Elephas maximus indicus: one gene and its partners. The protein of the gene in region 1 purifies or fractionates together with the protein of each later gene. This does not show direct contact. Links are inferred from orthologs where the notes say so. Each region holds a gene or a part of one and is shown on either strand. Other genes may lie near its edges.

Region 1 (7,353 bases):
CCTAGCCAAGTTGATACACATTTTTGGGGACACAATTCAAACCATAACACTGGACTATATAAAGAAGGACAGGGCATCAGGATCGGATGAAGACTCATTAACAACATGTGATATGCAGATACCGCAACTTGCTTGCTGAAGTGAAAAGGACTTGAAGCACTTATTGATGAAGATCAAAGACTACAGCCTCCAGTATGGATTACATTTCAACATAAAACAAAAATCCTCTCAACTAGACCAATAAGCAACATCATGATAAACGGAGAAAATATTGAAGTTGTCAAGGATTTCATTTTACTTGTATCCACAATCAACGCCCATGGAAGCAGTCGTCAGGAAATGAAACGGTGTATCGCATCGGGCAAATCTGATGCTAAAGACCTCTTTAAAGTGTTAAAAAGCAAAGATGTCACGTTAATGACTAAACTGCCTGACCCAAACCATGGTGTTTTCAGCTGACTCATAGCATACGAAAGCTGGACAATGAATAAGGAAGACTGAAGAAGAATTGATGCCTTTGAATTATGATGTTGGCAAATAATACTGAATATACCATGGACTGCCAAAAGAAAGAACAAATCTGTCTTGGAAGAAATATAGCCAGAATGTCTGTTAGAAGCAAGGATGTCAAGACTTCATCTCACATACTTTGGACACGTTATCAGCAGGGACCCTGGAAAAGAAGAGAAAAAGAGGAAGACCCTCGACGAGATGGATTGACACAGTGGCTGCAATGATGGGCTCAAACACAGTAATGACTTTGAGTATGGCGCAGGACCAGGCAGTATTTCCTTCTGTTGTCCATAGGGTTGCTGTGAGTTGCAGCTGACTCAATGGCACCTAACAACAACATAGCCTCCATTTGTTCTTTTTGCACAAATGGTGGCACACTCTTCCCATTATTCTTCATTTTGCTTTCTTCATTTAACAATATCTCTTGGTGATCTCACTACAAGTATACATGTAGATCTACCTCATTTTCTCTGTGATTGCATGACAGTTCACTGTAAGAGTGTGTTGTATTTTAGCATTGTATCTCATCAGTACCATGTAGCTAGATACTTGAGTTGTTTCCTGTTTCCTTCTACTTTAAACAATGCTGCAATGAAAATTATTATACTAGGTCTTTGGTCATAGGTGGGAGTTTAACAGTTAAAGATACACACATATTTTTCATCACTCTTCATAAATGAGTAACTATGTTTGAGAAACATTGATTCAGATGATATTCAAGAAACTTTTCTTACCTAGTTAGTATTTCCCACCACCCTTGCACTCCTCCTATCAAACTGTATGTTCTGGGGTCTTGTTCATTCTCCTTCCACCCCGATTCTCAGAGCTCTCGGGAGAGCTGATAGAAAGGCAGGGGTGAAAGAATGTACTGGAGGGGTTTGTAGAACTTGCTTGGCAGCGGAGATAAAGACCAGAAGAAGGCTTGAGATTCTCCCATAGATGACTTAAATGGGTCTATAGACGAGGGTTTCTCAACCTCTACATAATTGGGGTTTGGCAGGATAAGTCTCTGTTTTGGGGGTTCTCCTGTGTATTCCTGGTCTCTACTCACTGGATGCCAGTGGCCTCTACCTAGCTGTGACAATGCCAAATATGTCCTTGCGGGGGGGGATGTTGGAGACAACCTCTCAACCACGTTTTAGACAATTTGTTGGTAGTAAGTTAACTACCGAACATTTACTAAATATCCATTGTCTGGATCTAGAGGGTTTATCTGGATGGGGAAGCTTTGACGGGAGGATGTTAACTCCCTTTCTCCCATGAAAGACAGCAACAGCCATCTGAGGGGTTGTCTTGCCCACATTCTCCCTCCCATAATCCTTCCTTCCTCCTCTCCCTCATTCCCTCCCATTACACAACACAGTATGTGAACACAGTACCATTGTAAACATTTCAGATACATTACCCTCATCCCTCCCTACATACTGAACTCTCCAGGAGTAATGACTGAATTTATTTTAAATTCAGAACTTTCCCCATACATTTACATATATACTTTAACATACAAAATGAGCATTTTTTTTGTTTTTGACATAAATGGGACTTCACTGTATGTTTCATTGAATGACTTTTTTTAAATTAACAATCCATTTAACAAGTGGACATCAGTTCATATCCATATATTCTTTTTTTAAACTACTGCATAAGTATCCTATATTACAGGTATACCACCGTTAAACAGTTTGCCAATTGACGAATATTATTTTAATATTCTACTTCTAAGTATTCTAACGATGCTGCAATAAACACTCTGGTACAGGCCTCTCTGTAAACAAATGTACCTGTCTACCAAGAAGTAGAATTTTATTTAGGGACACACACAATTTTAATAGACACTGCCTACTTGCCTTATAAAATAAGCTGTATCATTTAATACTCCTTCCAAATGTGATCAAGAGAAGCCATTTCCCACATCACAGGCCACCTGGGTTAAATTACCAATCTTGTTTATTTTTGTCAATCTGCTCTCAGTACAGTCATTTTTGTAAAATGTAAACCTTAGTCCACCCTTGAAAAAACCTTCCACCTACAGAATAAAGCCCAAATTCCTTCACATGCCTTACATGATCTTAAGGTCCCTTACCTCAGACATTTTTTAGCTGCTTCTTTCCTGTAGGCTGATTTCCTTCCTTTCCCCCCACAGACCCTTTGATGCCTGTTTTGGGATCCGTGTCCCAGTGTTGCACCCCTCTGTTGAATGGGTGACAGTGAACAGCATCTTGATCATTTCTGACTCCTAGCCCTGGTACTCAGTCAACACTGAATAAGCAGGGCTGATAAGGGAGTGAGACCTGGGGGAACCAGCGGGGCCTTTCTCATGGCTCCTGAGGCCTCCCCTGGTCTCCAGTCTCGTCTGCCAGGCCGGCAGTGCAGAGAGGAAGAGCAGGGCTGGATTTGGTTCAGATGCGGCGGGTGCCCATTTCTCCTTTCAGCCCTGGCTAGGCCATCCTGCTTGGCCTTTCTCTGCATCCAGAGACGCTCCACCTGCTTCATTTCCAACGTTATTGGCAAAATGTAAGAAGACCCTCCCAGCTGCTTACATACCTGGAATGAGAATGCGAGTTTATGCCTAATGTGTTGGAACCAACCATATTCCTATATAAAATGCTTGTGGTGACCAACAAAGGACACAGCAAAATACTAAGACACACGGACAGAACCAGGCTGGAGGGCCATTTAGCCTAACCGTTTCGGGGAATCTTTGGAGTATCCATGCAGGAGTTGGACAAGTTATCTTCTAAAGATGCAAAGGCATGAAGAAAAAGCAAGTCTTCCAAGTCCCATGTATACACAGCAATTAGAAAAAGGAATGACAATCTTGGGGACACACACAAGATGTGATGTTGCATTAGGCCCAAACTTGACGGGAGACGTTCCCTCTGCAACAACCAAAATGGAAAGTCTGATTAAAACCCCCATAAGCCCACCATTGGTTTAAGCAACCGCAGCATTTGCCAAGAGGGAATGGGGTGGACATATACATTCTCAAACTCAACAGTAGTTTTCACATGTGATCTTTTTACATTTCTTACACACACAACAGAAACTATTTTCTTCTTTTGTTTTCCTTTAACTGTGGTCCAAGTCCAACAATAGCGCTAGCTAAAGGTAAGACTCAGCAAGTGCCCTTAGGCAGCCGCATAGAAATTAAAAAAAAAAAAATTAAATAAAAGATTAAAAACAAAAACTTAACGGGGAATTTTACCCCTTGGTTCCCCTAGTACCAACTGTGCGGAAAAGGCGGGAAAAAGGACCCTGGGGCCGGATCAAACAAGAGAAAGAAAGGAAAGAGAACAGAAGCCAGAGCCTGGAAACTCCTATAAACGCCCCAGAGGGCACGGCGGCCCTGGGGTTCGGTCTCCTTGGAGCCAACCCCCGCGTCAATCAGCCCCTTCCGGCGTTACGATTGGCCAGGGACTTCCTTGGCCTCTCTGCAGCCCACCTCCTAGTTACTTGGGGTTTACTTCCCCAAAGTACACGGGCCCCACCTTGTGGAGCAACCGCTCCTGCGTGGAAAACGGATCTCCGCCCAGGGGACGACGTTTTAGCGAATGAGAGTAGTTTCATGGATTTATTGGCTATTACGGGTATCGGTCACATAACTTCCCACCCTCCTTTTCACTGTACCTTTAAGTTATTGGTTTTTCTGAGTGCCAATCCGTTACTAGGGAAACGCGATCCTTACAGTCTCATACGCCCTAGTCCAAGCCAATCAAGAGCCACGCCTTCACCCTGAGTCAATATCCAATTGTGGTTCGAAGAGCCCAGAGGGCGCATTCGGGATTGGCCATCCGCTCGCCCGGCCTGGCCGCAACAAGTTAGGCTGAGTCGTGGTTATATACACCGGCGGCGGAGCACGCGTGTGTGCGGACGCAGTTCCGTGAGGGTCCTCTGCCATCCGTCCTACTGTGGAGCAGAGCTTGTTCCTCTCCCGCTCAGCCGCGCAGGTAGGCTGGGGCGTGGGCGGGGCTGGGCCGCCCGAGGACGAGGCCGAGCTGGGGCTGCTGTTAGACGGAGAGGTCCGAGCGGCTGCCGTGGCGGCGGCGCGAGGCGCGCCCCCCCTTCCCCCCAACGGCCGCAGGCGCGCGCAGCGGCTCTCTGCCTCCCCTACCCCCACCGTCCGGAGCGCGAGGCCGTGGCCGCCGCGTGCACGTGCCGCGTCCAACGGCCACGCGGGGCGAGAGCGAGCCGCGGCCGCCGCCCGGGCCCCAGGGCCATCTCGGGGGGCCGGGAGCCTCGCGCGGCCAGGGAGGGACTGCGAGCCGGCTGGCCGGCTTTTCCCGCCGCCCGCCCCATCCATCCTCTGTCCATCCCACGCGCCAGCCGAGTGTTTTCTCCCCGCGCCTAGAGGCTCAGACTTGGCCCGGACCGGGAGCGAGGGGTAGGGGCGACCTTCAAGTGCGATCAGAATTTTTCGACCTTCCAGGGAGTACAGAGCGAGCGGCCTTGTGCATGGAGAATTAGCAATAACAATAACTAATGTCTCTAAGCCCTTCCTTTTGGGCCAGGCTTTGTGCTGAGCAACTTGTATGTATTTCATTTAATCCTTCCAACGACCCAGTGAGGTAGGTACAATTGTTTTCCTCGTTTTACAGCGGACTTTAAAGCACCTAGGTGGAGTGACATGGCCAAAGGTACGCAGACGGTAAGGGACAGGTATTTCAACTCAGGCTGCCTGACTTCTAGCCCCCGAGCCTGTTTTATTCTTTGCTCCAACGGCTTGTGCGGTCCCAGGGCACCTTTGCCCCGAGAGCAGGCGTCACTGGGGGCAGCATCCACCTCGGAAGACACAATTGCCGAGAAGTCTCTGCGGCATTTGTACTTGAGGCCAGTGGTGGCCTTCCACGGAGATGATCAAAGGTTGGAAGTGGAATTATGACAAAGAAAGAGGGTTTGAGCTTCCCTTTTTGCCTGTATTCGCTGGGATAGCTGAGGGATGTGCTGCCCTAACAGCTTCTGGAAAAAGTAGAAAAATGAATAAATGCCGACGAACATGGACTGTGTTCCTCATCAGATTTGAAACTCAGCGAGGTAATGGGACATTCTCGCCAGCAGGAAGTTAGACTCTGATATGTAGGTCTTGAATCCTTCTTTTTTTTTTTTTTTAATCAGAGCAGATTTTTGAGAAAGACCTTTGAGAAGGTAGTTTAAACTTCCTCGTTTTATAATTGAAGAAAATGAGGTTTAGAATGAAGAGTTTCAGATCTCAGCAGTATCTGTGGGTTAAAAATTGGAATGGAAAGGATGGCTCCCCGTTACAGGATAAATTTGACCTCTGGAGGTTATAAATGCTAGATGAATCGCGGGTGATAGGGGTATGTTGGAAATTGTACTCTTGTGGAGTTGGGATCTTCTGTGGTTGAAAGCCTTACTACATTCAGCTATTGAGCATTTACTCTGCTCCTGTGTAGACGCAAAAAAGTGGAACACACCTTTCTCATCTTCGAAGGCTTGAGTTTTTATCTTTGTAGCAGAGTTAGATTTTTTAAAGCCTGTATACACTTTGGCTTAATGAAATAATGAATGTTCTTAAGTTGCAAGTCAAAATTATTAATTTGCATCACAGGTGTCTCTAAGACAAAACTGCAAAAGAAGCTTTGGGATTAGCTGTTCTAAATTAGTTTTGAATTGAATGGCTTTCAACCTGTTCTGCTTTTTTTTCTTTTTTAAAAAAAATTGTCCTTTTTACTGTATGCGCTCATACTCTTTAGGATTGCTCTTTAAGGAGTTTTTGCAGCCAGAGGGTACACATTATGTACATTCTTTGTAAGTTAAGACAATGAGGGGATTTAATACTTGCATGTGTTTTCCTTTACCTTGTACTTCCCCCCATGTTTCTAAACAAAAAGTAGCAGTAAAAGATCAGAATGTTGTGTGGACAAGTTCTTACGTTTAGTTGTTGCCATAAATTACAGTTCCATTTGGATATAACATTGTTTTATTTGGAACTTGCAGTTGTGTAACAATTTCTGTTACCTGCATTTAAAGAGGAATTAACTGTGAAATAAGTGTTTTAGGACTTAAGATGAGCAATTTAGATTATCAAATATTGACACACTATGATGACAGACCTACACATTTGATTCCAGCCATTTTTAGTACTACTTGAGGTTAAATATTATCGGGATGAAATAACTATGTATTAATTGAGGGAAAGTTTTGTCAGTAATCCCTTCAAGTATTAACAAAATACTGTTTTTGGCCTCAGGCAAATTGCTGTCATTTGGGGAGAAATAAAATTAAGTGATGTTCCTATTGTTGGTACCCCAGTTGGCCTGCTGTGCATGTATTTATCAAAAACAAGCGAAATGAAGCAAATTGTGATAATATAAGACTTGAGCCTTACTTTCCAATCAAGCCATTAGTACTTTTGTTAAGAGTTAAATCCTTTCAAATCGGAGCAGACGTACCTCTTCTAACAGGTAGAAAAGTAGGCAGTGGTTTTCTTTACCTCACACTTGATTTGCTGTTCTTAGCTAATAGTTTAATAAGAGATCATCAGGAGATTTGGTAAAGTTCGTTGGTGACCCTTGCAGCAATTTTTGTAATTTACATTAGGGATCTTTTACTTGAACTTATTTTAATGCTTTGCACAGAAAGTAAAGGGCAGAGGTTAGTTTTTATAAGTTTGTGAGTTGTGTATGATTTGTAGAAGGATAGATGGGCCAGTGCTCAAAAGATGAGATTTAATGTAAAGCCTGAATTTGTGACTTAAACCAACTTTTTTTTTTGGTTTCATAAAAGTGCCCACTGGTGTTTTCTTAATGCTTTGCAATTAGATTGGTTTTTAAAATATCTGGAAGTTTAGATAGGCGTTGTGTGTTACTAAAAAAAAAAAAG
Region 2 (7,594 bases), on another chromosome or scaffold:
AAACCCTATGGGGCAGTTCTGCTCTGTCCTATAGGGTTGCTATGAGTCAGAATTGACTCAATGGCAACAGGCTTTTTTTTTTTTTTTAGATAGATTGCCTTGGGTGGTATTCACATTTTCACAATGTTAAGTCTTCCTGACCATGAACGTGGTATGTTTTTCCATTTATGAAGGTCTCTTTTGGTTTCTTGCGGTAACATTTTGTAGTTTTCTTCATATAAGTCTTTTATGTCCCTAGCTAGGTTTATTCCTAAGTATTTTATCTTTTGGGGGGCTATCGTAAAAGTTATTCCATTTTTGGAGTTCTCTTTGTTAGTGTAAAGGAATCCAACTGATTTTTGTATGTTAATCTTGTACCCTGCCACTTTACTGAATCCTTCTATTAGTTCCAGTAGCTTTCTTGTGGATTCTTTGGGATTTTCTATTGTAGGATCATGTCATCTGTGACTAGGGATAGTTTTACTTCTTCCTTACCAACTTGGATGCCCTTTATTTCCCTTTCTTGTCTTACAGCTCTAGTTAGGACTTCCAATTCAATGTTGAATAAGAGTGGTGATAAAGGGCTTCCTTGTCTGGTTCCCATTCTTAGGGGGAATGCTTTCAGTCTCCATTGAGAATAATGTTGGCTGTTTATGTGTGTATGCCCTTAATCATGTTGAAGAATTTCCCTTCTATTCCTTTTTTGGTGAGAGTTTTCATTAGGAATAGGTGTTGGACTCTATCAAATGCCTTTTCTGCATTGATTGAGGTGATCATGTGATTCTTTTCCTTTGTTTTATTTATGTGGTGGATTATAGTGATTGATTTTCTGATGTTGAACCATCCTTGCATATGTGGTATGAATCCCACTTGGTCATGATGTATTATTTTTTGTGTGCTCTTGGATTCTATTGGCTAGAATTTTGTTGAGAATTTTTGTGTCAATGTTCATGAGGGATATTGGTCTATAAATTTCTTTTTTAGTGGTGTCTTTGCCTGGCTTTGGCTTCATAAAATGAATTCCGAAGTATCCCTTCCTTTTCTATGTTCTGGAATAGTTTCACTAGTACTGGTGTCAACTCTTACCGAATGTTTGATAGAATTCTCCAATGAACCCATCCAAGCCAGGGCTTTTTTTTTGGTAGGTTTTTTTTCTTTTTTTTTTTTAATAACCTCTTCAATTTCTTCTTTTGTTAATGGATCTGTTTAGATTTTCTATCTTGGTTTGTGTTAGTTTAGGTAGGTAATGTGTTTCTAGGACTTTGTCCATTTCCTCTAGGTTTTCAAATTTGTTGGAGTATAATTTTTCATAGTATTCTGATACAATCCTTTTTGTGTCAGTTGGCCCCTCTCCTAAAAAGGATTTACCGAGCCTGTCATGCAGATCGGGGAGGCTCAGAGATGTGACAACCACTTGCCAAAGTTGTGCAGCCTGTCTTATTTCCTGGACTAACCCTCTAGGATCTCAAAGACCTGTCTGTGGGCAAGGAAGGGTCTTCCTTCCTGAGGGTCAGGGCCATTGTTGCTTATAGAAAATAGAGCTTTTGTAGGTAGACTCGATCTCCTGCTGGGAGGATGGGCTGGGTTTCACCTGCTCTTACCTCTAGACAGTCTCTTGATTAAAAGCACTTTGCACAAGTTACACACACAGTCATTTATTTACTTGGTTCTTATCGCTGTCCTCAATAAGGTCAAGTTGTTCTGTGATTGTTTAGCTCATGGTTCTGTCCACAGCACCCATAGCAGAGCCTGGCTCTCTGTATGAACCACATAAAGTTTGTTGAATGAGTGAACAAACAAATGAATCCAGTAGCCAGAGCTTTTACAATTCCACTGTACTGCAAAATTCTTGGCTGCACAAAGAGACAAAAAGGGCCACATAAGCCAGAGATGCCATCATCCTGAGACCAGAAGAACTAGATGGTACCTGGCTACCACCAATGACTGCCCTGACAGGGAACACAACAGAGAGTCCCTGATGGAGCAGGAGAAAAGTGGGGTACAGAACTCAAATTCTAGTAAAAGACCAGACTTACTGGTCTGACTGAGAGGAGGAACCCCAGAAGACAGGGCCCCCAGGCTCTCTGTTAACCCAGAACTAAAACCATTCCCAAAGCTGACTCTTCAGACAAAGACTAAACTGGACTATAAGACTTAAAATGATACTCGTGAGGTGCGTGCTTCGTAGTTCACGTAGATACATGAGACTGATAGGCGAGATGAAAAGGCATAAAGGGACAGGAGCTGGTTGAATGGACACGGGAAATCCGGGGTACAGCCAGAGATATTCTTTAAAAAATACAATTTGAACCAAGGTACTGCCCTGCTTACAATATTCAGCTCTATCCTCCAATCTCAGGATAAAGTCCTAAGTGTTTCAAGTCCTCCAAGAGCTGGTTGTCCTTCCTGCCTCCCACAACACCACAGTCTTGCTCCCTTGTTCCAGCAATACTCCTCCACTCAGGGTCTTCACTTAAGTAACTCCACTGTCAGCACACATGCAACTTGATAATAATAACAATTAACATTTACACGAGCGACTTATATATGTTAGCTTATTCTCATAACTCCATCAAGTGAATACCTTTATTAGTATACTTACAGACTAGGAATCTGAGGGTCAGAGATGTGAATGAGCTTGCTCAATGTCATACACGTAGTAAGTTCCCCTACTAGAGAGTAAGCTTCAGGAGGGCAAGGACTGTTTCTCTCTTGCTCACTAGTACCTAGAATTCATTTGTTTACTCAACAAATATTTATTGAACACTTAGTATGTGCCATGCTAGGCATTGTTCTAGGTCCCTGCTATCATGAAGCTTGTATACACTGGAGGAAAGACAGACACTGAACAGGTAAGAACATATATAAACAATGTTATTTTACATAATAACAAAAGCCTTATAAGGAGCCCTGGTGGCACAATGGTTAAGCACTTGGCTGCTAACCAAAAGGTCCTTGGCTTGAACATACCAGCAGCTTCTCAGGAGAAAAGACTTGCTCCTGTAAAGATTAGTACAGCCTAGGAAACCGTATTGGGCAGTTCTGCATTGTCATGTAGGGTCACTATGACTCAGAATCAACTCAGTGGTACACAACAACAACCGATAAGAGCCTTAATAAGCTCTGGTGGCACAACAGTTAGGTGCTCTGCTGCTAGCCAAAAGGTTGGGGGTTTGAACTTACCCAGCACTTTGTCACATGGAGTCACTAAGAGTTGAAAATCAACTCAACAGCACCTAACTAACAACAATAAATGCCTTGAAAACAGGCCAACGGGATAGTGTCATAGATGACAGTGGTAGGCTACTGTAGACTGGGTGGTCTGGGAAGGCTTTGCTAAGGACAGTACCTATCTACAGAAGGAGCACTTCATAAATGTTTCTTGATTTAATACACTAGAATATAAACTCCATGAGGAAGAGAGGGACTCCCACTGCCCTGACTCCCATGGTATCCCCCAGCACCTATCTCCAGCATTGGCATAGACAAGGCCATGATTAACTATTTATTTGAACAAATGAGTATATATGTTTTTTTCATTTCTTTACTTACATCAGTTTACATTCATCTTACATATTCATTGACTTACATTTTCAATGCAAGAGTGTGTGCACCTACTGATAATTTCTGTTTTTGGTTGTCATAATGATGGGGAAAGGAGTTCCCTGTACTTATGGAGGAATGGTTGCTATATACAGTAAAGCCTGCGAAAGTCAGAACCTGTGTACGGCAGACACCTGTCAGAGAAGGAAAACTCAAATATTTTCCACTAACAGAGAGCAATAAAAAAGTGGTAAGACTGCACCCTGTCAAAGGTGGAAAGCTTGTGAGACTCATAAAAACAAGGCAGTTCCATCGAGTTCTGGATCTCACAGGTTTCACTGTAGCTTGCAATGCATGGGGACAGTATCACATGATGCAGAATCGTTCCATATCCCACATGATTTTTCAATGACCTAACAGACCCTCATGCAGATGAAAAGTCTTTTTATAATTATCTAAGTCTAGATACTAACCTCTTTTACAGAGAAAGTATTTTTGCACTCTTAAATGTAAACTAAATTTTCAGACACGCCACTACCACGTAAATCAAAGAGTGATTGAGTTTTGTCTTATTGACGCTGTACTAAAGCTTGTTCTTTTCAGAAAATCACACCACCCATGGAAGCAAGTCTTTCTAGCTGTAGCATTGCCAACGACTCTACATTTAAGTCCTAGAATTATGAGAACTCAGTATATATTCTCATGTATTCTGGACCAAACATTTACATATTGAACCTATTTTTTAAATTATAAATTGTTATTTCTTCTTAATTTCGCAATTAGGCAATACATTGATTTTTAAACGTTATGCGCATGGGTGGTTAAATTATCTATGGATTCCATTCCCGGATGATGTGGAGAGGGGCTATAATCTATTTATTATGAAAAGTTGCCCTTGGGGTTGGTGAAAGCTCGGAGCGGGAGCGGTCCTCCACGCGCTAGGGGCCGCTGTGGCGCCGCGCGGCCGCCGGGTCGCTCTCGCGTGGCCGCCCCGCCTCGGGCCCCCGGGCCGAGTGGGCGGGCACGGCTGCGCCCAGGTCGCGAGGCGCCCTTCGACCAGCAGCGCCCGGGGCGGGCGGGTATAAATGGAGCGGTGGCTCCGCTGGCCGCCTCTCTCCGCCCCGGGTCGCCGCTGTCTACGTTGTTTTCGGGCCCAGTAGCCTGAAGAAAAAAAGATAAAAAAAAAAAAAAAAACGGAAACGCTTTAAAAATCTTAAAAAAAAAAGAATACGCGAATCTTCCTCGGAGCACCCGCAGGGAAGTCACTTTTGCACGCTTCCGGCCTGCCCCTCGCCCGCCGCCGCACTTTGGCGTCTGTCCGCCTCCGTCTGTCGGTCCCGTGGTGAGCAGCCCGTGCCCGCCTGCCCGCCGCCTGCCCGGGCCTGCCCTCGTCCACGCGCCTGCGCTCTGACCCTCGCGCGTCCGTCCGTGCTGCCCGCCGCCCGGCCCTGCCCGTCCGCGCGCGCCGCGTGGCAACCTCGGCGCCCGCCCGGCCCCGCCGGCAGCCCTCGCCCCCCGCGGGCCGGCCTCCCCGGCGCACCACGTGTCCGCGCTGCCCTTCGCGGAGCCCGGCGTGGGAGGCGGCTGCGCGCGCGCACGCACGCCCGCCTGGGGCTTGCCGAGTCGGCACCGACAAATATTTTGTTTCCCTCTTCTCCTGGCTGTTGTAATCCTAAACCGCCAGGAGCCCGGGGCCTATATTTATAGAGAAACGCGTCTCCCGAAGGCCGCTGTGGGCAGCATTTGGTTGCCTCTTGAAGAATTTTTAGAATTTGGAAGGGGATTCCCCATTTTAATATTTTTTTTTGAAATTTGGAGGTTCAAACCAGGACAGCTGCAAATTACAAACTCCCAGGGAGGGCCATATTGTTTTGAGCGCCTTTTGTCTGAGGTTTTGCAGAGTCTTCTATGAGCTGTCCCTGAACTCCTGTTTTCCGTCTTCTGTGTATCTGAGCCTACTCCAACGCCCCTTGGCTTCACTGTTGCCACCTGTGAGCCGCCGCGCGAGCCACGGCTCCGAGAAGAGCCCCTTTTGTGCTGTGGTGATCCCTAGAAGAAGTCCTCCTGGCGGGGCTCGGTGTGGTGGGGGGCGGGGAGATGAACGCTGCAGCCAGCAGCTACCCCATGGCCTCCCTGTACGTGGGTGACCTGCACTCGGACGTCACCGAGGCCATGCTGTATGAAAAGTTCAGTCCTGCGGGGCCTGTGCTGTCCATCCGGGTCTGCCGCGATATGATCACCCGCCGCTCCCTGGGTTATGCCTACGTCAACTTCCAGCAGCCGGCTGACGGTAAGTAGAAGCTATGCCTACAAAATTGGGACCTCAGGGAACCCTGGGACTTATCTAGGCAAGTCCCTACCTCCACGGAGAGGGGCATCAAGGCAGCATGTTGCCCCAAAAGCCAGTAGTGGGAGCCTCCTGTAAGGGTTAAGAACGCGGAGCCTGTCATCTTATGGGTGGAGTTCCTAGTATCACTTGCTAACTGGGTGACCTTGGGCTAATAAGTTGTGGAGGTAGGGTTGGAACCCAGGAAGACTGCATAAAGAGTGAAGCCACTGTCACTCTACTGTGTGTGTGGTTCTGCTCAGTGGGACTGGACTGTTAAAGCATCTGCCTGGTCAGTGACTATGGGCTTGTGCCCCTCACATGCCCACCAAAAAAGCAGGGCGATTGAAATACAATTCCCTGCAAAAACTTGAGGTTGCAGAACTGCTGGCCTCTCCTCCTCCCTTGACCTGGCCTGAATCCTTTGAGTTTTGGCCGATAAGGGCTCTTCAGGGCAGATAGAAAGCCAGGGAGCAGTTCTGTGTGGGGATTTGTATTAGTGTCCCCAGAGTTGCATGTGCAGCCAGTGCCAGGTCAGCTCCCCAGTCTGCATGTTTGCCACTGAGGTGGAAGAGTTCTTTGCCCACAATGGTGACCAGTTAGTCTGGGAAAGTGCCACCTGAAGTTTCACTGGGCTGGGGGCTGGGGCTGGTGAGCATTATCACCTTCCCTCTGCACAGTGATTGACACTTCCACTTCATGCCATCTGAAGGAAATAGGACTTCTGTGAAGGAAAAGGATCAGCAATTGGAGGCTAAGTTGGGACTCCCAGTGCAGTGCTCTGCCTGCCCCAGATTGGAGCAGTGGAGAGGTATGCTGCAGGCTGGCAGGAGTGAGACAAGAGGAAACCTAATCAGGGGCTGCACGTGACTCCAGACTAAGAGGGAACAACTGCAGAGACCATTACAGAGAGAAATGAACTGTTCTGTGGCAGAGTCCCTCCTTGGTTCACTGTTCACGAGGCAGAGAGTGTAACTTGCCCAGGATGCAGCTGAGACGGGGGAATTGGACTTGCCTTCTGAGCTGAGTTCTGTCTGGGGCCACAGGAGCACAAAGAAGGTAGCTCAGTGTGGCCTTTCTGGGGGAGGGGTAGTGGGTACATTCACTAGCCGTGGCCTGCCTTCTTGGCTCTTCTGAACAAAAGTACTGTCACTTAGAGATAGTAGCAGAAGCCATTGGTCAGTGTGTCTGCCAACACATACCTCTGCAGGACCTCTCCCTGCTATAAATAAGACAGCCAGATTTGTCAGACTAAGCCGACTTGCCTTCTGCAGTGCTCACGTGAAATAGAGAGGAGTCGTGTAGAAATGAGTCCCAGGCATGGGTTTCACATAATCCTCGCAGCCGACTCTCCTGTACCTGGACGTTTCCTGTCCTTTGTCTCCCTTTTCCATGCCTTAACTGAAGAGTGTGGTTGGAAATAACGAGGGAAAAGAAGACACTCCTTTGGCTGGCTGGACGCTGAACTTCTGGAGGGGAGAAATTAGGGAGTTGATTCTGCAAGACAGGAGAAAGCTCCCTCACTCTAGCCCTGTCTGAATCCCCTCAGGGAGGAAGTTCTAGGTGATGTCATTGCATTAGTGAAGTCACTGCTGTGAGGTTGTACTGTAAATCAGGTCTGGGTGTCCTTGTTGCTGCCAGTGAAGAAAAGTGTTCCTGGCTGGCAGCTTATTTTTACTTCTGGTCCTTTACATGGTCTCCATGGTGCAAACATCGACTTGGTTGCCAAACTGAGGAAAGGTCCCA
Region 3 (7,599 bases), on another chromosome or scaffold:
GAATTATGTCCCCCCCAAAATGTGTGTATCAATTTGGCTGAGCCAGGATTCCTGGTGTTATGTGATTTTCCTACATGTTGTAAATCCTGCCTCTATTATGTTAATGAGGGAGGATAGGCAGCAGCTGGGTTGGCGAGACAGGACTCGACCTACAAGATTGGATTGTGTCTGGAGGCGATCTCCTGAGATTTAAAAGAAAGAAGCAAGCAGAGAGACAGGGGGACCTCTTAGCACCAAGAAAGCAGTGCCAGGAGCAGAGAGCATCCTTTTGACCTGGGGTTCCCTGCGCCTGAGAAGCTCCTCAACCATGGGAAGATTGAGGATAAGGACCTTCCTCCAGAGCTGACAGAAAGACAAAGCCTTCCCCTGGAGGTGACGCCTTGAATTTGGAACTTTAGCCTACTTTACTGTGAGGAAATAAATTTGTCTTTGTTAAAGCCATCCACTTGTGGTATTTCTGTTATAGCAGCACTAGATGACTAACACAGAATCACAACACAATACTGTCTGATATAGTGTTAGAAGATGAGCCCCCTGGGTTGGAAAGCACTCAAAATACACAGTGGCCACAACAATGGATTTGAGCATACTAGAGTTTGTGAAAATGGTGCAGGACTGGGCAATGTTTCATTCTGTTGTACATGTGGTCTCCGCGAGTCGGAGCCAACTCAATGGCAACAAACAGTGTACGGAGAAATAGAGCGATAAAGCAAATGTGATAAAATATTATCAGTTGTGAATCTGGATGAAGGATCATAGTAGTTCTTTGCACTATTCTTGTAACTTTATTTCTACATTTCAAACTATTTCAGAGTAAAAAAATTTTTAGAAAAATCTAAGTTAGACCTAGACCAGTCAGGGAGGCAGCTTCTAATTCTGGCAGGATCTAAAAACATGAGGATTAAGAGGAAATTAAATCTTGATAAAATGAAGTTACTCGCCTTGGTATTTCTGTTAGTTTCCAGAAATGCTTGTACAGTTCCCCTCCTGTTCACCTTTTGGAGCTGGCAAAGCTGGAAATGGAGGTAGGTACCGGAAGGTGAGGGGGCACGCCCAAGAGACTGGCTACTAACTGGGGCCCATTCCCATCGCTATGGTTCCCCAGTGCCCTTTCCTTCCAATTGAGACTCCTTGTCCTGGTGCTGGAAACCAGTTCTCCAGGAGCCAATGGGAAGTCCTCAGACTCTCAGCCTCTGGCCAACTCTGGTCCCACTTGTTTTATGCCTTCCGGGATTACATTCCAATTATTGTCTGTCTTGGGCTCCCAATCTGTCCCCACCCCTACTTACTCTTGTTTGAGGCTGGCTTTCATTTTTCTCGTGTATCTTTACACTGCTAGTACAATTTTGGTTACAGAGTAAGCACTCGATAAATTCTTTCTGATTCCTTATCTTCAGAAAGATTTAATAAATACTCTGAATATACAAGATGGATGTGAACGGATACTTTTTGGTTCTCCAACAATCTACAGGCTTAATGTGTATTCAAGCTTATAAGTGCTAAGGAGCCCTTGTAGTGCAATGGTTAAGCACTTGGCTGCTAACCAAAACATGGGCAGTTTGTACCCACCCAGCAGCTCCACGGGAGAAAGACCTGGTGATCTGCTCCTGCAAAGATTACAGCCCAAAAAGCCCTATGGGGTAGCTATGAGTTGGAGTGAACTCAAGGGCACCCAATAACAATAACATCAAGTCTATATATAAGGGCTATAAACGAGCAAGCAAGCAAGCCAGCAGAACTTGCAAAAAACTGCATTTCAAACAAGTAAAACTTCTGACAATCAGCACTGTAAAGCTGAGGCCAAGAGGAGAACAAAGACTCTGGAGCCAGCCTCCTTTCAGCCTTATTATTCTTTTCCTGGAGAAGTTACTTCTATTCTTCAAGACAGTGGTTACTGATCTTCCCAACTCAACTGACAACTTCCCCAGGCACCTAAGGCTGCAGGGAAATGGCCAAAAAAATTGCCTCAGCCTCAACCTTGTCACACAAAGCAGCCCAGGCAGGTGTACGGAGCATGGCTCCAGGGTCTGACAAACCTGGGGCAACAAGGTATGCGCTGGGTGACTTCCTTAGGAAAATGTGTGATCTCAGGCAAGTTACGTGGCCCCTGAGCCTCAATTTCTTCTTCTGCAAAATGGGCATAATAAACTGACTTCTCCTCTCAAACAGCTGGGTGGGTTAAGTGAGATGATACAGGCCACTGTGCTTCATTCACTGGTTCAAAACCTTAGTTACCATCAGGGCTCTGTATAGCCTTGTCGCTGTGTGCAGGGATGTCCCTGGGGGCCTGTAAAGGTCACTCATTACGTGCTACCCCCGGTCCCTCCTCCTTCACCCCTCCAAATTGGTTCAGGAATTCTGGTTAACACGAGCAGCAGGGATCAGAGACAAACTTGCGAGACTTACTATTTATTCCCTAGGAGGCTGTAAGAAGCAGGAGGCAGTAGAACCTACTCACTCCAGAGCCAAACTGCCTGAATTCAAACCCTAACTTCAATATTTACCAGCCAGGTGAATTTGGGCAGGGTTACTTAATCTCTGTGCCTCAGTTTCCCCACCTGCAAAGTGAAATAACAATAAAACCATTTGCCACTGAGTCAATTCCAACTCATGAAGACCCCATGTGTGTCAGAGTAGAACTGAGTTCCATAATGTTTTCAGTGGCTGGTTCTTTGGAAGTAGATCCCAGGCCTTTCTTCCAAGGTGCCTCTGGGTGGACTCGAACCTCCAACCTTTCAGTTAAGCAGCATGATAACACTAGCACCTACCTTACAGAGTTGTCGTGAGGCTTATACAGTTAATACATATAGGGCACTTAGACCAGAGTCTGTGTAAGCCTTTGCTATTACTATATTTCTTTGAACCAGATGGACTATATTATCTCATAGACCAGTAAGAAATTAAAGCCCCTGGTGGTGAAGTTACCACACTCGGCTGCTAACCCAAAAGTTCAAGGTTCAAGTTCACCCTCATGCCCCTCGGAAGAAAGGCCTGGCAATCTACTCCCCAAAAATCAGCCAGTGGAAACCCTGACACATGTGGGGTTGTCGTGAATCTAAATCGACTCTACCACAACAGTTTTTTTTTTTAATGGTTTTAAGAAATTAAAAGTGTTCCTAGCCCAATGTGTCCCCTTTTCCTTCCCCTAAACCCATTGCCCCCTTGCATCTGTGGAGGCTTGGGTGTTGCTGTGATGCTGGAAGTTGTGCAATGACAAACAACAACAATCTTCACGGAAGCTGACTGCCACATCTTTCTCCCACAGAGCAACGTGTGGGTTCAAACCGTTGACCTTGCGGTTAGCAGCCATGCACTTAACCACTGTACTACCAGGGCTCCTTCTTTCCTCCCGCTAGCCAACCTCCAAACCTGGAAAGATCTTTGCTTCTAAATAATAGCAGTATTAATAGCAGGTTAAACACTCAGCTGCTAACCAAAAGGTCAGCGGTTCAAACCCACCAGCTGCTCTGTGGGAGAAAGATGTGGCAGTCTGCTTCCATAAAGACTGCAGCCTTGGAAACCCTGCGGGGCAGTTCTGCTCTGTCCTGTAAGGTCGCTATGAGTCAGAATCAACTGGACTGCAGTGAGTATGAGATTCCAGGGGGCTTTTTTTTTGGTATGACACATCTCCAACTGTATTTGTAACTGATACATGAATTTCTCATTTCAGAAATGTGAAACAAAATAAACGTCTTAAAACAGATGAAATATAGTATTGTTACCTTAGAGGGCTGGAGCTGGTGTTAATATTGTATGCCTCCAGGTTCAAATCCAAAGGCCACCATACACTGCCTGGGTGACCTTATGCAAGACACTTAAGCTCTCTATGGCCCAGTTTCCTCATCTGTAAAATGGGGATAGTATCAATAGCAACTAAACAAACAAACCAAAAAAACCAAACCCATTGCTGTAGAATCAATTCTGACTGATAGTGACTCTACAGGACAGAGCAGAACTGCCCCATACGGTTTTCACAGAGGTGCTGGAGGATTCCAATTGCCCACCTCTTGGTTGGCCGCCAAGCTCTTAGACCACTTTGCCACCAGGGCTCCATCAATAAAAAAAAAAAAAAAATCAATAGCAACTAAAAAAACTACCATGTGAAAATGTTGGGCGAATTAAATATGCAAGTACTTTGAAAGTAAAGAGCACGTAGTAGGCGCTATTATTGATCAATAGTTATTTTAGAGACAAAGATCTTCTTTCCAGGTTTGGAGGTTGCCTATGGTAAGGAGGAGAGGAAGAACCGGCTGGCTTCTTAGACAAACTGCCCTGGACTCTCCTGCCCTCCCAAGCCCGGGAACGGTCTGGAGAGCCCGCGACCTCTCGCCCCGCCCCCGCCCGCCCCCGCCCCGCCCCGCCCCGCCTTATTTGGCATGGCCCCGCCCAACCCTTCCTGGCTCTGCCCCTAAGCTAGTCTCGCGCGCTTTGAAACTGCGCGAGCTAGGCCGAGACCTGGGGCCGGCGGTTGGTCGGGCAAAACCATTTGCTACGCTACCTGGGGGTCATTAAAAGCCTACTCATTCGTATTTTCTAAGTATTTAACTTTTCAGCCCTTGATGCTGGTCTTATCTAGCTTTAAAGTTTTATCTGTATTATCACACTCCCAATAAGGACCTTAACTCGCTAAGAAGAGAGTCGTTGTGTGTCTGTGAGGCGGCCTCCCCCTCTTAACGGGGATTCGATGGGAGAGGACGACGGCCGGCGTGGGGAGGAGGTGGCCCTAGCGCCATTTTGTGAGACCGGGGCGGTAATTGGGTTGCTCTTTGGTCTCTCGGTTTGTTTCCTTGTCTGGCTTACTAGCAGCGGCCTAGCAGGTGAGTCGCGGACGCTCTTCACTGAGGACTTCTTGGCTGGGTGAGCTCCCCCATTGGGACGGTCGAGACTGACGCAGCAGCTTCGGGCCCCGCAGAGGAGGGAGCCGTGGGGCCGGGCCTGCCTCCGCCGGCCCGAGCGGCTTCGCGCGGGAGCTTCGTTAGGGCATGGCGTGGGGTGGCATTCGGCGCCGAAGCAACGACGCCGGTCCCGCGGTGCCGCGCAGTCTGAGACGGAGGTTAGGCGCGGCCACCAGGCCCGGGCGATGCTTTGTGCCTTCGGTACTTCGCAGTCTGGGGGGCGCTGGCAGTTGAGGCTGTGTACCCCTGCGGCCCCACCCGGGCCGCCCTAAAAACTCCTCCCTCTGCTGTCACGCATTGGCTTCTGGGAGGTGGCGGTCCGAATTGGTCGCCGCTGTCCTTGTGACACAAGTTTGGAGAGCCCGAGGAAGCCCTAAAGTGACAAATAGGAAGGAACTTTTTTATCATGTCTTCACCTGGCTCATTCTTTCTATTCGGTCCTCAAGTGTCAGGTTACACCTGACCTATCCAGACTCTCAGGTCTGACCCAGTTGAGGTTTTCCTCGGCCGTCTCATGGTTATGTACTTCATTCTGATACTATGTATGACAATTGTAGTAAAATAGTTACTTGTTTACTTTGTCTTGTTTACCCCTGCCCCCCTTGTAACCAGCATGCCACTTGGGACAGGTTTCACAGTTCCAGCTGCAGCACCTGACCCACAGCTATCCCTCAGGAAATATTTAGTGAATGAATGAACCTAGCAGGGCATCGCATTCTAATAGAAAATCACTACTCTTGCCATTGCCTCATTTCTCAAGAAAAATCCACGTGTGTAAGAGTCCACACAGCAAGGATTTTTCTGGAAGTCGTAGAGTGATAATGTGGGGTGGTGTTAGTTATCAACAGAATTCAAGGAAACAGTTCCCCTGGCATTAGTGTTGGTCATTCATGTTTCTTTTTCCTTTTAAGAAAAAGATGTCTGAGTATATTCGGGTAACAGAAGATGAGAATGATGAACCTATTGAAATACCATCAGAAGATGATGGAACAGTGCTGCTGTCCACGGTTACAGCCCAGTTTCCAGGGGCATGTGGCCTACGCTACAGGAATCCAGTATCTCAGTGTATGAGAGGTGTCCGCCTAGTAGAAGGAATTCTGCATGCCCCTGATGCTGGCTGGGGAAATCTGGTCTACGTTGTCAACTATCCCAAAGGTTTGTTGCCATTTCGCTTTGCAGTGTGGTGGGACTTGTGCCTCATCCCAAGTCACCAATCATGACCTCTCTTCATGGTGAAACATCTATAAAGCAAGCTTTTCCTTAAGCTTTATTATTAGACTAGTTTGGAAGACCACTAGTCTAAATTAATAAAAATGGGAAGTTACAGAACATTTTTTAAGAGGAAACTATTTAAATAACAAATTATCTGAACAAGCGTTGCCAGGTTGATGGCAGATTTCAGGGATTCTTAAGAATGCTTTGCAGTTATATCTGTGCTGTGGATTCTTGTAAAGTGCCCCCAAGTTTTTGGGCTGTCATTGCCCTTGGTGGTCTTAGGTCATTCAGCTAGTCTGACTTCTTTTTCCTCTAAAAGGAACATTCAGTTGCAGTAACTCAGATTTTTGAATTAGTATGGTCCTAATCGACTGCTAACCAAAGGGTCAGCAGTTCAGATCCGCCAGGCGCTCCTTGGAAACTCTATGGGGCGGTTCTGTTCTGTCCTAGAGGGTCGCTATGAGTCGGAATCGACTTGACGGCACTGGGTTTTAATGCTAAGTCTTATTCTTGCTGGTGCTTGTCACTGCTCTAAATCTAAGAACAGCATGAAAATTAAGAGTGCTAAGGATGTAGATACATTTTAGCAGTAGGAATGTGTGCTGGTTGGTATATCTGCTTGATACTTATATGTTACTGCAGCAAGGTAAGATTATCAAAGTTGGTTAAGACACAGGACGTTGACTTAATATACCTAGAAGATTTTTAACTGCATAATTGTTTTTTTAGTATGCTGTTTATTAAGCCATTGGCTATAGATTAATATTTACTTGAATGTAAAATGTCATTGATTTTCTTTCCCTTCCTTTTCCAAATATTGACTTTTTAAAGTAGCTTAAGGTTTTCTTTATTACAAAACTAATGTGTGTTCATTGGTGAAAGTTTAGAAAAGACAAACCGATTCACAGTTATAGCTGTAGCACCTGACCTTTAGTACATACTGAGCAAATATTTAGTGAATAAATGAACTTAGCACGATTCATTCCATCATCTGGACATAAAAGACACTAATTTTTTGGTATATAGCCTTTAAATTACGTAAGAGACATTGAAATGGTTAAGCAGATACGTTTAACATATAGAAACAAGGATAGTATCACACATTTTTAAGCATTTATTTTTCCTGCTTAATGTAGTTTTGGTGCTCTGGTGGCATAGTGGTTAAGAGCTCTTCTGCCAGCCAGAAGATCAGCAGTTTGAATTCACCAGCCACTCGGAAACCCTACAGGGCAATTCTACTCTTTTCTGTAGGGTTGCTAAGAGTCAGAATCGACTGGATGGCAACAGGTTTTGTTTTTGTTTTTTTTTTTTAATTGTGCTTTTGTAAGTGAAAGCTTGCAAATCAAGTCAGTCTCTCATACAAAAATTTATATACACCTTGGTGTATACTCCTAGTTGCTCTCCCCCTATTGAGACAGCACATTTCTTCTCTCCACCCTATATCCCCATGTCCATTCAGCCAGCTTCTGTCCCCTTCTGCCCTCTTATC
Region 4 (6,984 bases), on another chromosome or scaffold:
TTATAGTCTATATTCCAAATTTGCCAGTGGAAAATTTACATCCTTTATAGCAATCTTTTTCTATTACGCAATCTAGGCCAGGATCAAGTGTTTCGTTTAGCTATTAGCCACTTAAGCCTCCTTCAATCTGGAAGAGTTCCTCTACCTTTGTCTCTCGTGCCACGGGCGTTTTTGAAGAACGTCCATCTGTTTTCTCTAGTGTGTGTGCCTTCCTTTTACGTATGTAAGCATGTATGTTTATACCTATTAACAGCATGGATGCACAGATTCTTCTTTTATTCAGTGGGTTATGATCTATTACTTTCCTTATTTTGATGCACAATTTGTCCCAGGTTTGGCCAGTGAAAACCTCTTCAAGCTGGCTCCTATGTCTCTTTGATCTCCTTATCACTTTTTTTTTTAAGTACTTGTTTTCTGCCACAAGATGTTCCAAACTCATCTTGTACCTTCCTTACTTCTGCCCTGGAATCAACCATTTCTTCAAGGAGCTCTGAGTCCTTTTATTGAAAAATACTATTTGGAAAGCAAGATCTGGACACTAGATATGAATGCGAATGTATTATGTGTATATATATGTATATAGAAACCCTGGTGGCATAGTGGTTAAGAGCTACAGCTGCTAACCAAAGGCTGGCAGTTCAAATCCACCAGGTGGTCCTTGGAAACTGTGTGCGCCAGTTTCTACTCTGTCCTGTAGAGTTGCTATGAGTTGGAATGGACTTAGCAGCAATGGGTTTGGGTTCCTTTTTTTTTTTCTTCCCCACTGAGAACCCTGGCTCCCAACAACACTCATGTGCTCAGTTCTACAATACCCCAAAATAGTTTCAGAACTGCCATGACTTTATCACTGTAACTAGAGTTGAGGTTTTTTGCAGTTATTTTTCCTTTAGGCTGAAGACACTTGAAGAGCTACTTGAATTAGTTCTATTTTTCTCCCTTCAATGTGGTTATTTTCTTCATCTGAGATATAGTTGGGTTCATTTGTTTACATCTGTACTCAGTGTTTAGCCTCCCATCCTTATTGATCTCATTTTTTTAATATGTTGACTGTGCTATGATCTGAAAAGTCAAAACTATACGAAAAGGTATACTGAAAGAAGTGTCCCTTCCCCTGGCCACCCCCCATCGGAGCTCTGTTGTCTTCTTCCAAAAGAAGAGTGTAACCCAGTAACCAAGGAACCCCCATTTTTCCCTATCCTAACAGGTAACCAATTTTATTAGTTTCTGGGTTATTCTTCCTCTATTTCTCTTTGCAAAAATTTGCGGATACATTTATTTCCTTCTCTTGTTCCTCATACCATAGTTTCTACTCTTTTGAACTTTGCTTTTCTCAATTAACAATATATCCTGGCAATCGCTCCATATCAAATCATAGTCATATAGTTTTTTAATTCATACAAGAAAACAACATTCCAGTCATTTACCAATTTGTCGATTGGGTGACAGCCACTGACCTTGGCACAAGGGATCTAGAAATGAGTAAAATACAGTCCCTGCCCTTCATGATCCCAATGGAAAGGAGACACACATATATAAACAAAACCAATATGGTGCTCTGGACGTCCAGAGGAAGGAGTAAATAACAGGATGTCTGAAAAGGTGACACTCCAACTTAAGAATAAAAAACTAGAGAATTGAAACGGGAATTCTAGGTGAAGAAACAACACATGTAAAGGCAGGGCTGAATAAGGGCAAGACATATTGTGGAAAGGGAGCCCCAGTGGCACAGTGATTAAGCACTCAGGTGCTAAACAAAAGGTTGGTGGTTTGAACCCACCAGTAGCTCTGCAGAAGAAAAGACCTGGGGATCTGGCCCATAAAGATTACAATCTAGGAAACCCTACGGGGCAATTCTACTCTGTCCTACAGGGTCCACTACAAGTCAGAATGGACTCCATGGCAATGGGTTATGTTATGGAAATGAAAGTTTAATTAGAATCTGAGGGGGAGGGGCAGGAGCACTGAAGAGGTAGCATGGTACCAGATAGTGCAGGTAATGCCAGGAAAAAGCTAGACTGTATTACTTAGGCACCCAGGAGAATGAAGGTCTTTAAGATACGACTTGGAAACATTTACCTCACAAATATTTAATTGACTGCCTGCATCGTGCTAGGTAGTGCAGAGAGGGCAGTAAGAATCAAGATCCCAACCTTTAGGGAGCTGACACTTGCAGGAAGACATAATTAAATGAGCTATCAGAATAAAGTGGCCACGCACACAGAACGGGAACCTAACCCACTGGAAATTGGGGTGAGACTGAGGTGAGAGAAGACTTCCCAAAGAGACCCAAAAAGCCCAGTGCCAGAGAAGGGCTGCCTTTTAACTGGGAGGCAGGAGGGGAGGAGAGCTGGAAGAGTTCTAACGCTAATAATGCCTGGAGCAAAAAGAGATTCAATCCTCACTGTCGAGTTGATTCCAACTCATAGCCACCCTATAGGACAGAGTAGAACTAGCCCATAGGGTTTAAAGAGAGATTAAGACATGAGAAATTTCACTGGATAAGACCACATGCCCATCACTTCTCCATTCCATTCTCCACATTGCAAATCTGACCTCTTCATTTTCTAAAAAAAGCCCCACCCCACTTCATTGAAGATCAAGTGGGGGCCTTTAGAATCTGGTCCCAGGTTGCCTACCTCGTGTCTCTATTTTTTAACCTCTTCTTCTAATTTTATGCTCCAAACCTACTGCCGCTGAGTCAATTCTGACTCATAGCATCCCTATAGGTCAGAATAGAACTGCCCCATGGAGTTTTCAAAGAGCGCCTGGTGGATATGAACTGCTGACCTTTTGGTTTGCAGCTAACCACGTATACCACCAGGGTTTCCATTCCAGCCATGCTGAATTTTTCTGTTTGTCACATTCATTTCCCACTGCCTAAAAATTCATCTCTCTACTGTCTTTTCAATTTTGATGCCACGGAACACTGGATTCGGTGTCACCTCTATCTGTTCTCACAGTGCCCTGTACTTCATCTAACAGATCTCATCTAATTGCGTGAATCCACAAACAGCTCGAACTCCTCGAGGGCAAAACTAAAGCCAAACCCACTGCCTTCGAGTAGATTCCAACTCATAGTAACCCTGTAAGACAGAGTGGAACTGCCCGGTAGGGTTTCCAAGGCTGTAAATCTTACGGAAGAAGACTTCCATGTCTTTCTCTGCTGGTGGGTTCCAACTGCCGACCTTTTTGGTTAGCACGGCTGAGCGCTTTAACCACTGCACCACCAGAGCTCCTTCCCTGGGGGTAGGAAGTGGTTTACTTATCGCTGTATCCAAATGTCCTAAAGCCCAACTAATTTTGAATGAATGAATGCTGGCTTTATCAGAGTTGGGGGGAGGGTTTTGAACTAGACCGTAAGAACCTCGGCCCCGAGATAATGGAAATTTCTTAAATTTAAGATTTATGATTAGGCTAATCTGCAAAGGCCAGTACGATAAACTCGGACACTTCAATCCTCTTCAGTCTTCTATTTAAAGCAGGTAAGGTCCAAAGTAGCTCCTCACAAAACCTACCACCTGCTTAAAGGAGTAGAACCCTTGGCTTAGCCAATTCCGGGGATCTTTTTGCATTTAGACTCCACCCACTAGCCCCAGAATGGCGGAAGAATCGAACGATACGTGGTACCTCCTCACACAAATGCGGAGGCATCCCGACGTTACGCCGGCGGCGTAGGCGGGGCGACCGGTTCTTCCTCTCCGCTTCCTCGGCCCCTCCCCCGGCGCTCACACGGTCATTGTGAAGCGACAGCCGCTGCCAGTTTCTAGGGCTGTTTCAGACCTAGAGACTTTAAATTCTTGGCGCGTGTGAGCGCCCGCGCTGCTCCTTTCCCACTCCAAAGGCTAAGGGCGCGAAATTCACTTAATTTTATTTTCCCTCCTCACCCACCTGGAGCTAACCGCCCCGGTGCGCGCCGGCATTCGCGCCACCTCTCCCTCCTCCCCGCCCCTCCCCCTTCGAGAGCTCTCACCCGCGCGCTCCCCCCTTTCCCGGCGACGCGCACGCGCGCCAGGCCGGCTCGCGCCCTCTCGGTTTCCTACAGCCCGCGAGACCCCCTCCCCTTCCGCCTCGCGGCGCTTCCTCGCGCCGCGGTCTTCTCTATCCACCCCCGACACCGCGGGGCTCCCCCCGCCCGCCAACGGCGGGTCCCCAGCATCCCAACCCCCCTCGCTTCCCGCGCCCTCCGGCAGGGGCCTAGTCCCGGCCCCCTCGCTCCTTCCCTTCCCCCTGATTCCCCTTCCGGACGCTGCCATCATGTTGAAGCCTCAGCCGCCACAACAGACTTCCCAGCCCCAGCAGCCGCCCCCCACGCAACAGGCCGTGGCCCGCCGGCCTCCCGGGGGCACCAGCCCTCCCAACGGCAGCCTCCCGGGGCCGCTGGCCTCCACCTCGACTTCCCCAGGGCCTCCCGCGGCCGCTTCCCCTTGCCTGGGGCCCGGAGCCGCTGCAGGGAGCGGGCTGCGCCGGGGAGCCGAGAGCATCTTGGCGCCGCAACCGCCGCCGCCGCAGCATCAAGAGAGGCCAGGGGCAGCTACCATCGGCACCTCCAGGTGAGGAGGGGTGGGCTTCCGGGCGGGGGAGCAGAGGCTACCAGGAGGAGGCGGCGGCTCTGTTCCGGCCCGGCGGCCGGGGCCTGAGTACAGCGGTGTGGGGCGGGCCCCAACGTGACCACCTATGGACGGCACCGGGGGGAGCGAGAGGCCCCCCGTGAAGATGGGGGTGGGTACCCTCAGGTCCTAACAGGTCGGAGGAAAAGGGTCCCCGGGCAGCCATGGGACATTTGGGGGCCAGGCTGAGCTTTCAAGGCCTAGGCAGGGTTCGGGACTCGGGCTTTCAGGGGAAGCGGGGCGCACCTCTCCAGCACCGCCGAATCGGGGAGTTGCGGGGGGGAGAAAAGGTGAGCGGGGTCCCCGGCTCCATTACCACGGAGGGTCTCGCGGTCCCGGGCTTCAGCCAATGGGGAGTCAGCTGCGGGAAGGGGTCCCCGGCCGTAGCCAATGGAGGGGGGCGCGCGGCCCACAGTTTGGCCAATAGGGAGGGAAGGACTTGGGAGCGGGTTGCTACCTCCCCCTTCCCGGTCTGGCCAGTAGGAGGGGAGCGGGGAGGGCGGGGGGACGGAAGGAGGGAGGTCTGGGAGGGCTGCGGGCCGGGAACCTCCGCCGCGCGCGCGCTTTTGCCGTACGTGCGCGCGGATGCACTGTCTCTTGACCCGGGCATTCGTGTGTCCGGGGCAACATATTGGGCAGAAGCTGGGCGTGTGCCTGGAGGGGTACTGGAGGCCCCACTCGGTTTCTCTCCCTCTCGGTCTCTCTTTTTAATGGAATTGAGGGTGGTGGTACACGCAGGCGCAGTGGGTTCTGGTCACGGGAGGGGGCGTTTCGAAGAGGCCCGTGGGCTTGAGAGCGCAGGCGCAGACCGGGCGAGGCCTCCCGGTGGATGGCTTTTGCGGCTGCGCTGTCCCCCAGCCCCGCCAACGGCCCCCTCATCGCCCTCAATCGCCGGTTACATCAGCCATCGAGGAGCGGGGTTACCGAGGGATTGGTGACCTGTCCGAGTTGGTAATAGGCTGAATGGGTAATGAGGTCTAGGGGGTGAGGTGTGGAGGGGCTTTCCTCTCAGGGCTTGGGGTGTGAGGCTGCTGAAAATGATTGTCTTTTCTATTTGGAAAGTAATGTGTCTGAGGTGCGTGTAGGTACTACCAAATCTACCTACTGAAAATGATTGTCTTTTCTATTTGGGAAGTAATGTGTCTGAGGTAGGTACTACCAAATCTACCTAAGTCTTGCCTTTATATCTGGGATGGGTTATTGGTTATCGAATACTGTAGCGTTGTCTGTTGGAAGCATGCAGCCCTCTGCCCCTGGGAGAAAGTGAGGAGGTTGTGTTGAATTGGCTCTTCAGACCAATGACAATTATTCCCGATTATGGTTTATTTTACTGGAATTTGGAGGCAGCGTATTTACTGGCTCTTGATGCTTACTGTTGTTTTCCCCTATAAGGTGAGAATTTGAACATCTTGTTGGTAAATTGGTTTGTAGCCTAAATCAGCATCTTCATTTGGTATGTGTTTCTAGGATATTAAGTGCTTTGAGGTTAATGTTGTAAAGGAAAATTAAAAAGATTTAAATAACCAATTTTTTTATCCTTTCCCTTTTAGGGGACAGAGCACAGGAAAAGGACCCCCACAGTCACCAGTGAGTACGTTTATCTCTCCCTAAGATATGAGGACCTAAAAGCCGCTCACATGGGGTATAGGGGAGATTAGGTACAGAGGTAGAGGGGCTGAGAAGGACCGGAGACCCAGCACACACAAGGTGGGGGTGAGTGGAGCCTGGGCATTTAAAAGGAAAGTGAAACATTGACTGACCGACCACTTCTTATTTCTCCCTCTTTTGTCGCTGACAGGTGTTTGAGGGTGTTTACAACAATTACAGAATGTTACATTTCCTTACAGCTGTTGTGGTAAGTGGGTACTTAACCCCTAGGTTGTTTAAGACGGTTAGGACTCAATTTGCTAGAGACATTCTTATTTTTCTCATTCTCCTAGGGCTCTACTTGTGATGTAAAGGTGAAAAATGGGACCACCTATGAGGGTATCTTCAAGACTTTGAGCTCAAAGGTCAGTGTACTCGAATCAGCTTATTTTTGGACTTTGCTGGAAGAGGAGAATGGAATAGATTTATCAAAGGCATTGGATTGGGTGGTATTGGTCAACATTATGGGTGTTACTCATTATGTAGGTCTATGCCAGGGTAATACTACAAGTGGTAATAAAAGACGTGGGTCTGAATAAACATGGGCTCTTCTGTTGTTAAAAAGCATGAATTTTAGAATGTCAGATGTTTAAATTTGAGACTTTTGTTAGGCCTTCGGGTGGTGTTGAGAAGGCAGTGTACATGGGGTACTTTTGGAAAGAGTAAAGGGAAAATAGTTGTATTTTTGCTTTCACATTTCTTGATACTGACCTTCGGGTGTTGGGGAATG

The links.
Region 2: the proteins of G3BP1 (region 1) and PABPC4 purify together in Homo sapiens (affinity purification with mass spectrometry; 4 studies listed by BioGRID and IntAct, with this or other methods). This does not show direct contact. The link is inferred for Elephas maximus indicus from reciprocal best matches to the Homo sapiens genes G3BP1 and PABPC4.
Region 3: the proteins of G3BP1 (region 1) and TARDBP purify together in Homo sapiens (affinity purification with mass spectrometry; 3 studies listed by BioGRID, with this or other methods). This does not show direct contact. The link is inferred for Elephas maximus indicus from reciprocal best matches to the Homo sapiens genes G3BP1 and TARDBP.
Region 4: the proteins of G3BP1 (region 1) and ATXN2L purify together in Homo sapiens (affinity purification with mass spectrometry; 4 studies listed by BioGRID and IntAct, with this or other methods). This does not show direct contact. The link is inferred for Elephas maximus indicus from reciprocal best matches to the Homo sapiens genes G3BP1 and ATXN2L.

Annotation. Positions count from the first base shown.
Region 1 is NC_064820.1:167,399,310-167,406,662, forward strand, and holds the start of G3BP1 (ras GTPase-activating protein-binding protein 1), read left to right. Parts: upstream 1-4,348; 5' UTR 4,349-4,460; intron 4,461-7,353. UniProt on the Homo sapiens protein: Protein involved in various processes, such as stress granule formation and innate immunity. Plays an essential role in stress granule formation.
Region 2 is NC_064821.1:81,201,746-81,209,339, reverse strand, and holds the start of PABPC4 (polyadenylate-binding protein 4), read left to right. Parts: upstream 1-4,579; 5' UTR 4,580-5,619; coding exon 5,620-5,812; intron 5,813-7,594.
Region 3 is NC_064821.1:50,843,542-50,851,140, forward strand, and holds the start of TARDBP (TAR DNA-binding protein 43), read left to right. Parts: upstream 1-4,587; 5' UTR 4,588-4,800; coding exon of another isoform or gene 4,801-5,141; intron 5,142-5,359; coding exon of another isoform or gene 5,360-5,411; intron 5,412-5,806; 5' UTR 5,807-5,812; coding exon 5,813-6,050; intron 6,051-7,599. Other genes in the region: C3H1orf127 (uncharacterized protein C1orf127 homolog), read right to left, coding at 4,801-5,141, 5,360-5,411. UniProt on the Homo sapiens protein: RNA-binding protein that is involved in various steps of RNA biogenesis and processing.
Region 4 is NC_064830.1:88,857,141-88,864,124, reverse strand, and holds the start of ATXN2L (ataxin-2-like protein), read left to right. Parts: upstream 1-3,981; 5' UTR 3,982-4,254; coding exon 4,255-4,550; intron 4,551-5,134; exon of another isoform or gene 5,135-5,436; coding exon of another isoform or gene 5,437-5,558; exon of another isoform or gene 5,559-5,574; intron 5,575-5,587; exon of another isoform or gene 5,588-5,717; coding exon of another isoform or gene 5,718-5,755; exon of another isoform or gene 5,756-6,060; intron 6,061-6,157; coding exon 6,158-6,194; intron 6,195-6,405; coding exon 6,406-6,462; intron 6,463-6,547; coding exon 6,548-6,619; intron 6,620-6,984. UniProt on the Homo sapiens protein: Involved in the regulation of stress granule and P-body formation.